Linked DNA regions of Arabidopsis thaliana. Changing the gene in region 1 together with any one later gene gives a genetic interaction. Each region holds a gene or a part of one and is shown in the gene's direction. Other genes may lie near its edges.

Region 1 (4,796 bases):
GTGGTAAACCGACCTACTTACCAACTCAATTTTACGTAATCTAACGGCCGGTTTAGACCAACCGACCCACAAACGAACAGTAAATTCAATAGTTTATCAGAAAAAATCATTAAACTTCTCCATTTGATTGTTTTTTAATTTAAGTAGCAAATACAATATGTATCATTCAAATCACTTAAAATTTTAAACTTGGGTTCTCTCTTTGTCGGTTTAGAGAATTAAACCAATTTTGTAATAGCCACAAAAGAAGAAGAACTACGGTAAGGATCTTGACAACCTCACCACCGTCCGTTTTAGAGGCTCTAAGATCGTGACACGTGACATTTCATGATTGGTTAGGCAGTTAATGACTATTCTACCCTGAGGATTTTCTTCTCTCGCTAGTCGCTATGTATCTGGACCGGGGGCTCAATAGTCAATTACGTTGATGTTAGAGGTTCCGTGTACGAGACCATTTTCTCGAATTTTTATTTTTGATTACTTTTTACTTCTGGCGGACGAATCTTTTTAGTTAAGTCTAGACGTTGCCACTTATGTTACTTGCACCTCTTATTTGAGAGTGTGACATGGTTTATGTTCAACCTCTTATTTTATGGGAATTATCTTCTGTTTATAGACCAAAATACAAACACTTAAACGTTATAAAAGTAAGAAATTTCCAACTTAGCTACGGACTTTGAAGACTGTAAGGGGGCTTTTAATCCTAGAGAGCAATGATGTGTCAATATCATGTGTGAATGATTGTATTGCTAAAACAAAATTCCTAACTTTTTTCTTCTTATCCTTTGTTGATTAGTTGCATGAATACAAATCTTGGCTTAAAATCGCATGTCCAGTTTGATAAACCGCCTTTGTAAAATCCTTTTAAACTGCAAAAGTATAGTGCAAAGGTGGGAAAAAACCGAAAACAATGTCTGCATATTCCGGTTAACGAAATCCGGAATCTCAAAGAAACAAAGACAACAAGTCAGAAAATTTTGTGAGACAACAGTCCTAAACTTGAGAAACAGAGGATGACAAACCTAAACAAAAGCTAACAAAATCTTTTTTGATGAATATAATCTATAAACAAAACTATATAGAAAATGAGGCTAGAAATATCTTGTCGCATTAAGACATGTACTTTTCATAATAAAGAAAGAAAGAAACTATATTGAAGTTGTGTAGTGATGTCTATCCATATTGCATCTATCCCATATTTCCCACCCTATACATACATATTATTTGAAGTAATAGTGATGTCTTAGTATAAAAGTTTTGATATAAACTATATGATTTTTTCGTTTTTTGTTAATAGAAATAAATTAAATTGATAGGTAATGAAATTGTCGACGAACCTACACGGCTACACCTACGTAGTCCAAGATCAACCTTTTATCATGGCTTACCAACAAGATACTTTAGATTTATAGTGGTTATTGGACCAGAAGACAGCATTAGAAAAACTTTTAGTTTTTCCTAAACACCTCTTTGAGAATTGAAAATCATATAGCAAAAAGCTTGTACTGTTATGGATAACTGATAAGGAACATATTTAATCAAGAATCAAAACGACTTTCCATGTTGATATATAGAACTTCATAAACATGTTTAACATTTCTTACGCCAAACGAAACGCTAAATATTTATTTAAATTGCTAGCCTGGTAGGCGCGTAATAGAGAGTGCTATGTTTCCTTAAATCAAAGGTATAACTATGCAATTAGCTTTCTTTTATGCATCCTCCTTGTCTATCTCAAACATAGCTAGAATCTTGAAAAGTTTTGATAAGGATCTTGCCATTGACTTTGTTAACACAAAAAAATCATCAGCAAAACATAGATGTTGTTGCCGGCAACGAGGATGGTAATCGATAAAGCCACAGGTGTATGATGATCGAGGAAGCTGGACCTAACATCGGTAACAAGCAAAAAGTAGGTATGGCTATAGTGAAGTCCGTGCCGCTGACCTCTAAATGTTATATTTATCTCTTCCACTGAATTTTTGTTTCATTGTTACATTACTCAACCATAGCTTAAGAATACTTGTGGGTGGAGATGCATATTTATTTTAGTTCTCCAACTTAGCAAAATGCTAATAATGTATATCATTCTCCATATAAACGCTGCGTTTTGGACATGGAGGGGATACTTAAAACGCTGCGTTTTACACTTTGTTTTCCCGCGTATATTTCTCCCTTTATTATCGGATAGCCCAACAATCACACAGGCGAAGAAACCTAGCTATTGCTTCGCCATGGACGTCGGAGGAGAAGACATAAGCGATCTCCAGGTAGACCAAATCGTTGAAGAATATTCTATGGACGATCTCATTAGAGACCGATTCAGACTCTCCGCGATCTCTATCGCCGAAGCCGAGGGTTAGACTCTCTCCCTCCCTCTCTTCCCATTTCAATCGATTCTCAAAATTTCTGGTATAATCAACGGGTTTATGAATACATTCGATGAAGCTTCGTCTGTATTTCGATTTGATTTTGGAATTTGTGTTGATTTGATTAAGGATATTGAATCGTTGATTCAATTGTCCTTCGTATTTGGCTTCCGATTAGTTTCTTCTGGTGAACGATGAAATTAGCTTAAATGTTTTCATTGAGATTCTTGGAGCTCGAATTAGATTTGGGGATTTTCAATTTCTAGAACTGATGAATCAACATAGTAACGAAGCTGCTTGAAGTGTTAGTTCTACAGTGTTGAAATTTAGATTCTTCCTGGAATTAAGTAATAGATGGAGAAGAGTTGGATTTTGATTGATTTGAGTTTTTTATTGAGCAGCGAAGAAAAATGGAATGGAAATAGGTGGACCTGTTGTGGCATGTGTGGCAGATTTAGCCTTCAAATATGCAGGTGAGATCAGTTTTCTATGCATTGAAATACTAATTCTGCAACTCCTTCATCTTATGGTTTGAAGAACCTTATTATAGTTAAAAGAACCTTATTTATTGCTACTATTTACTTGGATGTTTAACCTAGGCTTTAGGGGAATACAGATTTGTCAATATGCTTTGGAAGTAATCTTTTGGTTAGAAGAATCCTGGTCTAGTTAATTTTACATTAATGAAATGTGCAGTGTTAGTTTTATAAGTTCTAAATCAATTCAGTAAAACTTTTCAGTCCCTTTGAATCTTAATCTAGCTTCAGGGTAATACAGATTAGTCAATGCATTGGAAGAATGTTTTTTGGTTTTTGATAAAAAAATTATCAGTAGTGAAGAAGAGTATCTATTCTTAGGCCTTTATGTGGTACTTAGCTTAAAGAAACACAGATATAGCAATTTAAAGACGCAGGATCGAAACGAATGTTCTTTACGTATCTGGTGTAGAGGATGAAATTTTCTTGAGCATGGTGTGTGCTCATGTTGAGTAGGATTATTTTGGTTGATGTTTGTATGGTAAACTGTTTGTAGAAGCTTCAATTCATAGTGGAGTTGACTCAACCAAAATCTAAACCTTATTTTTAGTGTTTTCGTCTCCAGAATACCTTTGTCTGAAATTATGCTTATTTGTTATGAGTAACAGAAAACGTTGCAAAGGATCTTGAACTATTCGCTCATCATGCTGGACGCAAAGTTGTGAACATGGACGATGTTGTTCTCTCCGGTATTAAACTGTTTCTCTCTTACACGTTCATGTTAGTGTTTTCTTAGTTCTGAATTTCATATCTGTTATTTTGCAATTTTCAGCGCATAGAAACGATAACTTAGCAGCATCTTTGAGGTCACTATGCAATGAGCTAAAGGCAAAGGAGCCACAATCTGAGAGGAAACGCAAGAAAGGATCAGCCAAGAAAGAAGACAAAGCCAGTAGTAGCAATGCCGTTCGCATCACGACCGATCTGTAACTCTTCAAGCAGAGTGTAAATACACGCACTCCTCTATATATATATATAAACATTAACTTTGATGGAGAAGCTGTTATTAAATTTTTGTGGAAAATTTTATATAGAAGACTTTTGCATTAACCTACTTACTTTAACGTTTAAATGACTATATCCAATCAGAAAATTAAAAAATATGCGTATATATCTCATTATCTTGAAGTTGCGTATATAAAATATCGAGAATCTATCTCTATATTCTCTGTAGGTTAACATATATCTCTTAGGGATTTGTGATTTGTTTTCTGTGTTATATACCACGTATAAGCAAAGATATTGTAAGCTAGGTCTGATAGCCGGGTTAGATAACAATGTCACAATCTGACTCTTCTCCGACGAAGAAACAGAAGCTGGAGGATGGTTTAGGTATATATCTGGATCCTTTTGTTTATTACACATTGAAGATTATGTAAGAGGGATCTCGATTTGTTCTAAGGGTAATGTATCAAAGAAATTCTGAGTGTTTTATGTTGTAGGTAAAGGAAAATCTCAGAACGAGATTGGTGCTGTAGGGATTCGAGAAGAGAAAGATAATATTGAAGTTGAGAATGCTAAGGTAAATCTGTTTTATTGAAGGTCTAAAACCATCGATCCTTTACAGGATACAGAGATGTGATCGGAATTAAAGTCTTTGTCTTGTTTTTGGTTGGTGTCTTTCTATGTCCTTTTGTGTGAATGTCTCTCAATGTAATTTTTCATTGTTAATGTAGAATAAAAGTCCACACTACGATCCTTGTGAAAGTGAAAGCGGTGCGCCGAGTTTCTTAGTTTCTCGATTGCTTCACTTCCTTGACTCTCCTGATTATGAAGTTAAGAATGATAAGGTAATGATCCTTTTACAGGATACAGAGTTGTGATCCCTTGCATTGCATTTGAAGTCTATCTTGTTTTTGGTACATTTCTATGTCCTTTGTGTAAATTGTCT
Region 2 (6,356 bases), on another chromosome or scaffold:
CAACTCCACCTGAAAAGACAACTGCCTTAAGACAGAGGATACTCAGGTTAGTAGCTAAAACCCTAAACCCTCAATCCTAAACATTTTAAAAACATCACTTAATATGATTTTTTTTATGTGTTTATGCAGCTATGTAGATAACAAGAAGGATCATTGGCATCCATCGCCGATGATTGTGTTTAGAGATATGTGTGGATTAAACAGTGTGAAGATCGCAATGTGGCCAACACATAAGATGAATCATCAAAATATGGGAGAGAGATATGTGAGGAGAGGTCAATTACTTGAAGAGATTGGTAGATTATGCAGAGAGTTGGATATCGAATATCGGTTATATCCTCTTAACATCAACGTAAAAAGTCTTCCTGCTGCTACTCCCATCACTTCTGATCGCATTCCTCCTAGCTGGAATCAACAACGCAGTGTTTGAAGATTGGAAAATTTTGAGTACTTTTTGGTGTTTTTGGTATTTGCAGTGAGTGAAAAAGAGAGATTTTTCTGTCTTCATTTTCTTTCTCTTTTATTGTTTTAAGGACTTGAGGATTCTTCATTTTCATTGCAAAAAGCGAGTCTGCTTTTGTGTATATCTGTGTTGAGTGGTTATAGACTTATAGTCGATAAAATAAAAAGCTTACAGCATTTGAATCTTTATATTAATGTTACGTAAGTACCTTTAAAAGTATAACATTGATTTTTTTTTAATAAATATATGTATTATGTTATAACGATATTGGAAAAAATTTTGTAACCATCAATTTAATTGACATCAATAAAATTTATAAAGTCAATTTACTTTTGAAAAATCCAATTGTTCTAATCGCGAATCATGGATCTATATTAGGGGTCTATGAGATTTCTTTCTTCTGAATGAGGATTTATTGAGATTTTGATTTTTTTTTAAACATCCTACACAATATCTAAAATAGCAATATCATTTATTTATCCATTATAAATTTATAATTTGGATATGCCAAACAGAATTCTATTTCTATATATGGATCAGAGTTATGCATCTATCTCATCTAGCTTGGGCAGCTGACATGGGTGTGAGCTATTTGTTATTGATAACATTGAGTAACTGTGTGGTATTGGAGGTCCATGAAAATAAAATTCTTTGGCAGTGAATTTTGAATAAGACACATTCTAATATATGGTAGATGAATGTTCCAATCAAGATCGGGTACGTTCTGAGCACAAACGTGCTCTGAAATCACTGCAATACGGATCTGAAGAATAACGAAATTCCAAAGGTCTCGAGCATCATTCCGAGGATAGACAATCAAGGCAACAAAGAAGACATCACTGCTAAAAGATATTGTTCCCTGAGTGGACACACAAATATAACATTAAAGAGCAATATTGTAACATCTATATGAGACTTTCCGGAGATATTGACAAGCAATTAGAAGTTAAAATTTGGACGATTAAAGAAAACATCCAACGTAGACTTGCATCTCATTGTTAAGGTGATCTCTGAGATGAACAATAACTATATAAAAAAGACAAGCTCTCAAAACTTTATTCTAAAATGTATAATATATAAAATTTATCAAAAACAAAATTTAACATGTGTTGTAGCATGAGTCCAGAATTCAAGATACATATGGTGTTTTAGTTTATGTAAAACAAAAAACTATTCAAAATGAATCGTAAAAAACCGAGTTACATACGTTTTCTATATAGTTTTAGTTTTTATAAAACCAAAACCAAACTGAAAAACCGAATATCCATCCCTATTACATAATAATTAAGAATTTATATTATATAGAGAATGATTAAAACTATACTATAAAGCAAACAATAGTCCAACATTAAATAAGTATTTTAAATTTTAATTTTTACCCGTGTTGCACCAGCACGGATTACAAGTTGGTTCTATAAGATGTGTTGTTTCTGTCTTTTTTTTTTTTTTTTTGGCTCAACATCAACTTTCCACTAACCAATTCAAAGGTACAAGTCATTCGACCAAAACATATTTTAACCAAATACAATGAATCAGTCTATTATCACCTTGAAACACTATGATGGATTCAACGCTACCCAACCGAAATTCACTGTATTTTTCCAACCACAACGAGATGAATTACACCACGACTCTAAGTGAAATCATCTTTTAAACCACCAAAATTCACCCAATGACACGAAAACATTTCTAGCACAAAGAAAATCAAATCCTATCCTGAGATCCAATCCAATTCCAAGCTATTAGTCCCTCATGATCCGAGTGTAGAACATGTCCTAATAGCATCTACGCCAAAAGCGCAACTTCAGAAGGGTTTTGACTCCTCTGCTTTCACTATTTCGGTCCTAAGCCTAAAACGGACATACTAATCCGACTGATACTCAACCGGATCAACCGGGCTGAGACAAAAATTTCTTGAAGTCGAGGCTTTATTGGAGAGCTTTCCTTCTTCTTCTACAATCCAAATGGTTTTCTTTTCTCCCCCATTTCTCATTAATTCTCCATCAGGAGTCGTTGACGGCAGCATAGCTAATACGCCTTGAATCATGTAAATCTGCCCGGGATCGATAGGATCTTCACAACCAAGCTCGAAAACCACGATCCGCCTACCTCTGTACCTTCTTAACACTGAGCCACCACTACCAAGGAGGTTCATCGGAGGAGAGGTACCTCCGCGAAGAGACTGACGAAGAAATCCACCAGATCTGCTGCCGTCGTCGAGAGTCATAGTTCCCCATTGTAGATCTACCAACGAACCTCCATCTGAGAGAACTATCTCCGCTCGCCGTCGACTTAAAACTCTTTGATTAAGCCACAAAGAAGGAGGAGCCGCCGCCGGCTAAAAAAAATCGACACAAAGGAAAAAAAAAACTAAAAAGAGAAGAGAGGCCCTCTCACGGTGCCGGCCGAAACCGACCACCAAAGAGGCAAAACGGCGTTTGAAGATTTGATCTGGTTTGCGGCGGCTAACTAGAGAGAGAGAACTAGGGTTTTTTGTTTAGTTTGTGTTTTTGTTGTTGTATTTTACTTAAGATGTTGTTTTTGTTTAAATGAACCAAAAAAAGGAAGTCTTAGCTTAACAAACCGACGCCGTTTAGCGATGTGCATTTCAACAAACTGCGATGTCGTTTTGACATTTTATTGCTCACTCAAGTCATTTTGCTACTGCTGATTATCTCTGGAAATTTGAAATCTTCGTTTCTCGCGCCGGCATTGAAATCAGCGAGAGAGGTAACGATCCTGGAAACTCTTGTGTTTTCTCTCGGATTTGCATCTGCCTCTTCTTCGATTTTCAATTTTTGAGATCCTTCGCTGCTGTTTTTGGTGTTATACTTCAGATCGGTAAGCTTAATCGCCGTTTGTTGTTCTTCAATCACTTTCTGCGACGCGTTCTCTCTCTATCGCTCTGTCAAAATCGCAGGTAAGCTTCTTCAATTTCTTCTTAGATCTTCACATTCCTGCTGCGATTTCGTTGCTATACCTAAGCTCTTTACAATTTCTAAGGTTTGTGTCAATCTCGAATCAGGGAGATTGATAAACCGATTTGTCTCCAGTATTCTGAAGAATCGTAAGTCGGAATCTAACTGTTGAGTTGAGTTCATCGCTGTGATGTAGAAACCCTTAATTTCGGGACTGTGCAGTCGAAATTTTGCCGATCTCTGAAATCTATGCATATGCCCAATTTCTAGGGTTTCCGTTTTCTAAATCGTTTTTATGACTAGAAACTAGTTGATCATCACAGTTACTGTTAGTTTTGTACCTCTCCGATGACTATGAACTGCTAACTACTGAAGTTTGACAGGTCTTAATGCTTACTTTGTACCCATTCGTGTTTGCAGTTTAACAATTTTCAGTAGTTAGAATGAATATAGGTTAATTAAAACTTGTATTGTGAATACTAGTTAATTGGTGATCTCAATGAGTTAGTTCAGTGGAGAATGGAAGTTTCATTTAGAGCATGGTTCTTCATCTTGTTTGATATGAAGTTAATTTGCAGGTGCGTAGCAGCTTGAGATACTTATATTAGAGGTTGACATGAGATGCAACGCGTGTTGGAGGGACCTGGAGGGCAGGGCCATTTCCACCACTTGCGGTCACTTATTATGTATCCTATTTACACTTTCTACTTTTCTTTTGCGTAGCAACACTTGTGAGCTTGAATAAGATGACCTTAACACCATGAAAAGGTACTGAAGATGCCAGCAAGATTCTCAGTAATGATGGGGCATGTCCCATTTGTGATCAAGTACTCTCCAAGAGGTAAAACTTTCCTAGCCTAGCTTCAGTTTAGCTCTAGTCGCCTTATTCTCCATTTGACAGTTAGTCTTTATCTTTCCATCTTAGTTTAATGAAACCTGTGGATATCAATCCAAATGAAGAATGGATAAATGTAAGTGGTTAAGCTGAAATACGCAAGGATACTATAGCTTTTCTTCTTTTCCAGTTTTCAATATTCCCATCTTACATCTCCTCGTTGCTTACATGTGTTATCAGATGGCGATGGCTGGAATTTCTCCACAAATACGTATCCTTTTCATAGATGTGCTCTTGGTAGAATTTTCAAGTTGTAACTATGGTTTTTCAATTGAAAATTGTCCCGCTGTATCTCAAATCTAAACTCAAGTGGTATAACTTTATCTCTTTTGCCTTTGTAAGAGTTGGTAAAACAACAGTTTAAGGTTCAAAAACCTCCTGTTTTTCTTAACTGAATCTAGTGATGAAGAGTGCATACCGAAGTGTAATGTTTTACATTGCCCAAAGAGACTTAGAGATGCAGTACAAGATGAATAGAGTTGTTGCACAGTGTCGTCAGAAATGTGAGGGTATGCAAGCAAAGTTTAGCGAGAAAATGGAGCAGGTCCATACAGCATATCAGAAGATGGGCAAGAGGTGTCAGATGATGGAGCAAGAGGTAGAAAACTTGACCAAGGATAAGCAAGAGCTCCAAGAGAAGTTCTCTGAGAAATCAAGGTCAGTCACTTAAGATATGTTTTCCTGGTTCTGTTCCCTATATTAATCTCAACTACAATAACAATGTACCTTAATTGTTTTTAAATTACCAGACAGAAGAGGAAGCTTGATGAGATGTATGACCAGCTAAGAAGTGAGTATGAGTCAGTTAAACGTACAGCCATCCAACCAGCAAACAACTTCTACCCGCGACACCAAGAACCCGACTTTTTCTCAAACCCAGCAGTTAATATGATGGAGAACAGAGAGACCATTCGCAAAGGTTAATTTAACTACACTATTTCTGTGTCTTGAGCTTAGTGCTTCATATGATCCTGAGTCTATTTTGGTTAAATATCTCCAAATCAAGTTGACTTATTTGGTGCAGACCGGTCGTTTTTCTCTCCTGCAACACCAGGACCTAAAGATGAGATATGGCCAGCAAGACAGAACAGTTCAAACTCAGGTCCATTCGACATCTCCACCGACTCACCTGCGATTCCATCCGATCTTGGAAACAGAAGAGCTGGCAGAGGACATCCTGTATACGGTGGTGGTGGCACTGCTAATCCCCAGTCAACTCTACGAAACCTTATTCTCTCCCCTATTAAACGTTCTCAGCTCTCTCGTTCCCGCCCTCAGCTGTTCACGTAAGAAAAGTAGAAAACTATAACCTTAAAATAGACCAAACTCACATCATGTACTTGGGTTTGTTCTAAAATATTTTGTTGCTTCTATTCTCAGGCTATAGCTTAAGGATCAAGTTCAAGTGTTCTGAAACTGCCTAGGTGGAAGTCCTAATGGTCACAACCAGTAAGTGACTCTTCTTTTTTATAAGCTGTCTGACTTAGTAAGTAAAAATCTGAGGGAAAATGTAGTATTTGAGGAAAAGAAAAACTCTCGTCTATATAAATATTAATAATCGTAAATCATATTTTAGTAGAATCAATATAGTGAAACTACCTACAAGGATCATAAGACGATGAGTAAATATAAAAAAGATATATCTGTTGGAAGAAAAGGCAAAAAGAAAAAAAAACAAAACAAAACAGTTTAAAGTAAGCACTTGTGGAAGAGTGTGATGTTCATTGAAGGCTTAGGTTCTCTTGTTTGGTTCAAAGACGTATTTGAGCAGTGACTCTTTGATGGAGAGCATCTCTGGGAACTCCTTGCTTAGTTTAGATCCATCCATTTCGTTGTTGCTTCGAGCAGCAACAATGACCTTTGCTTGTTCTTCCACTGTGAAGTTGGACCATTTAAAACCTGGCTCGATGTAATTCTTGTACATCTCCAATATCTCGTTGTGGCTCACCACCCCTGGGTTGGTGAAATTCCATATGCCTCTTAGGTTTCTCTTCGCCATCTCGATAGAGATTGGGAGAAGCTCGTCTAGTACGGTCATGCTGTTCGGGATGTCCACCACTTTGTTGTAGCGCGAGATCTT

The links.
Region 2: of AT5G50930 (region 1) and HEI10, changing one suppresses a phenotype caused by changing the other (phenotypic suppression), as found in Arabidopsis thaliana (one study listed by BioGRID).

The regions. Positions count from the first base shown.
Region 1 is NC_003076.8:20,720,483-20,725,278, forward strand, and holds AT5G50930 (Histone superfamily protein), read left to right. Parts: upstream 1-1,586; coding exon 1,587-1,645; intron 1,646-1,863; coding exon 1,864-1,916; intron 1,917-2,052; coding exon 2,053-2,358; intron 2,359-2,770; coding exon 2,771-2,842; intron 2,843-3,513; coding exon 3,514-3,594; intron 3,595-3,677; coding exon 3,678-3,835; 3' UTR 3,836-3,999; downstream 4,000-4,796. Other genes in the region: AT5G50940 (RNA-binding KH domain-containing protein), read left to right, coding at 4,183-4,237, 4,348-4,427, 4,582-4,695. UniProt on the Arabidopsis thaliana protein: Involved in the promotion of spontaneous somatic homologous recombination (HR) events, which is opposite to the function of FANCM in ordered HR. Only FANCM is essential for replicative repair in the absence of the endonuclease MUS81.
Region 2 is NC_003070.9:19,961,149-19,967,504, forward strand, and holds HEI10 (RING/U-box superfamily protein), read left to right. Parts: upstream 1-2,118; 5' UTR 2,119-2,327; coding exon of another isoform or gene 2,328-2,801; 5' UTR 2,802-3,193; intron 3,194-3,300; 5' UTR 3,301-3,383; intron 3,384-3,456; coding exon of another isoform or gene 3,457-3,564; intron 3,565-3,959; 5' UTR 3,960-3,997; coding exon 3,998-4,067; intron 4,068-4,149; coding exon 4,150-4,222; intron 4,223-4,306; coding exon 4,307-4,352; intron 4,353-4,456; coding exon 4,457-4,487; intron 4,488-4,677; coding exon 4,678-4,933; intron 4,934-5,025; coding exon 5,026-5,195; intron 5,196-5,300; coding exon 5,301-5,562; intron 5,563-5,656; coding exon 5,657-5,663; 3' UTR 5,664-5,804; downstream 5,805-6,356. Other genes in the region: MSL4 (mechanosensitive channel of small conductance-like 4), read left to right, coding at 1-46, 130-430; MRD1 (mto 1 responding down 1), read right to left, coding at 2,328-2,801, 3,457-3,564; MUM4 (NAD-dependent epimerase/dehydratase family protein), read right to left, coding at 6,009-6,356. UniProt on the Arabidopsis thaliana protein: Ubiquitin E3 ligase required for class I crossover (CO) formation during meiosis.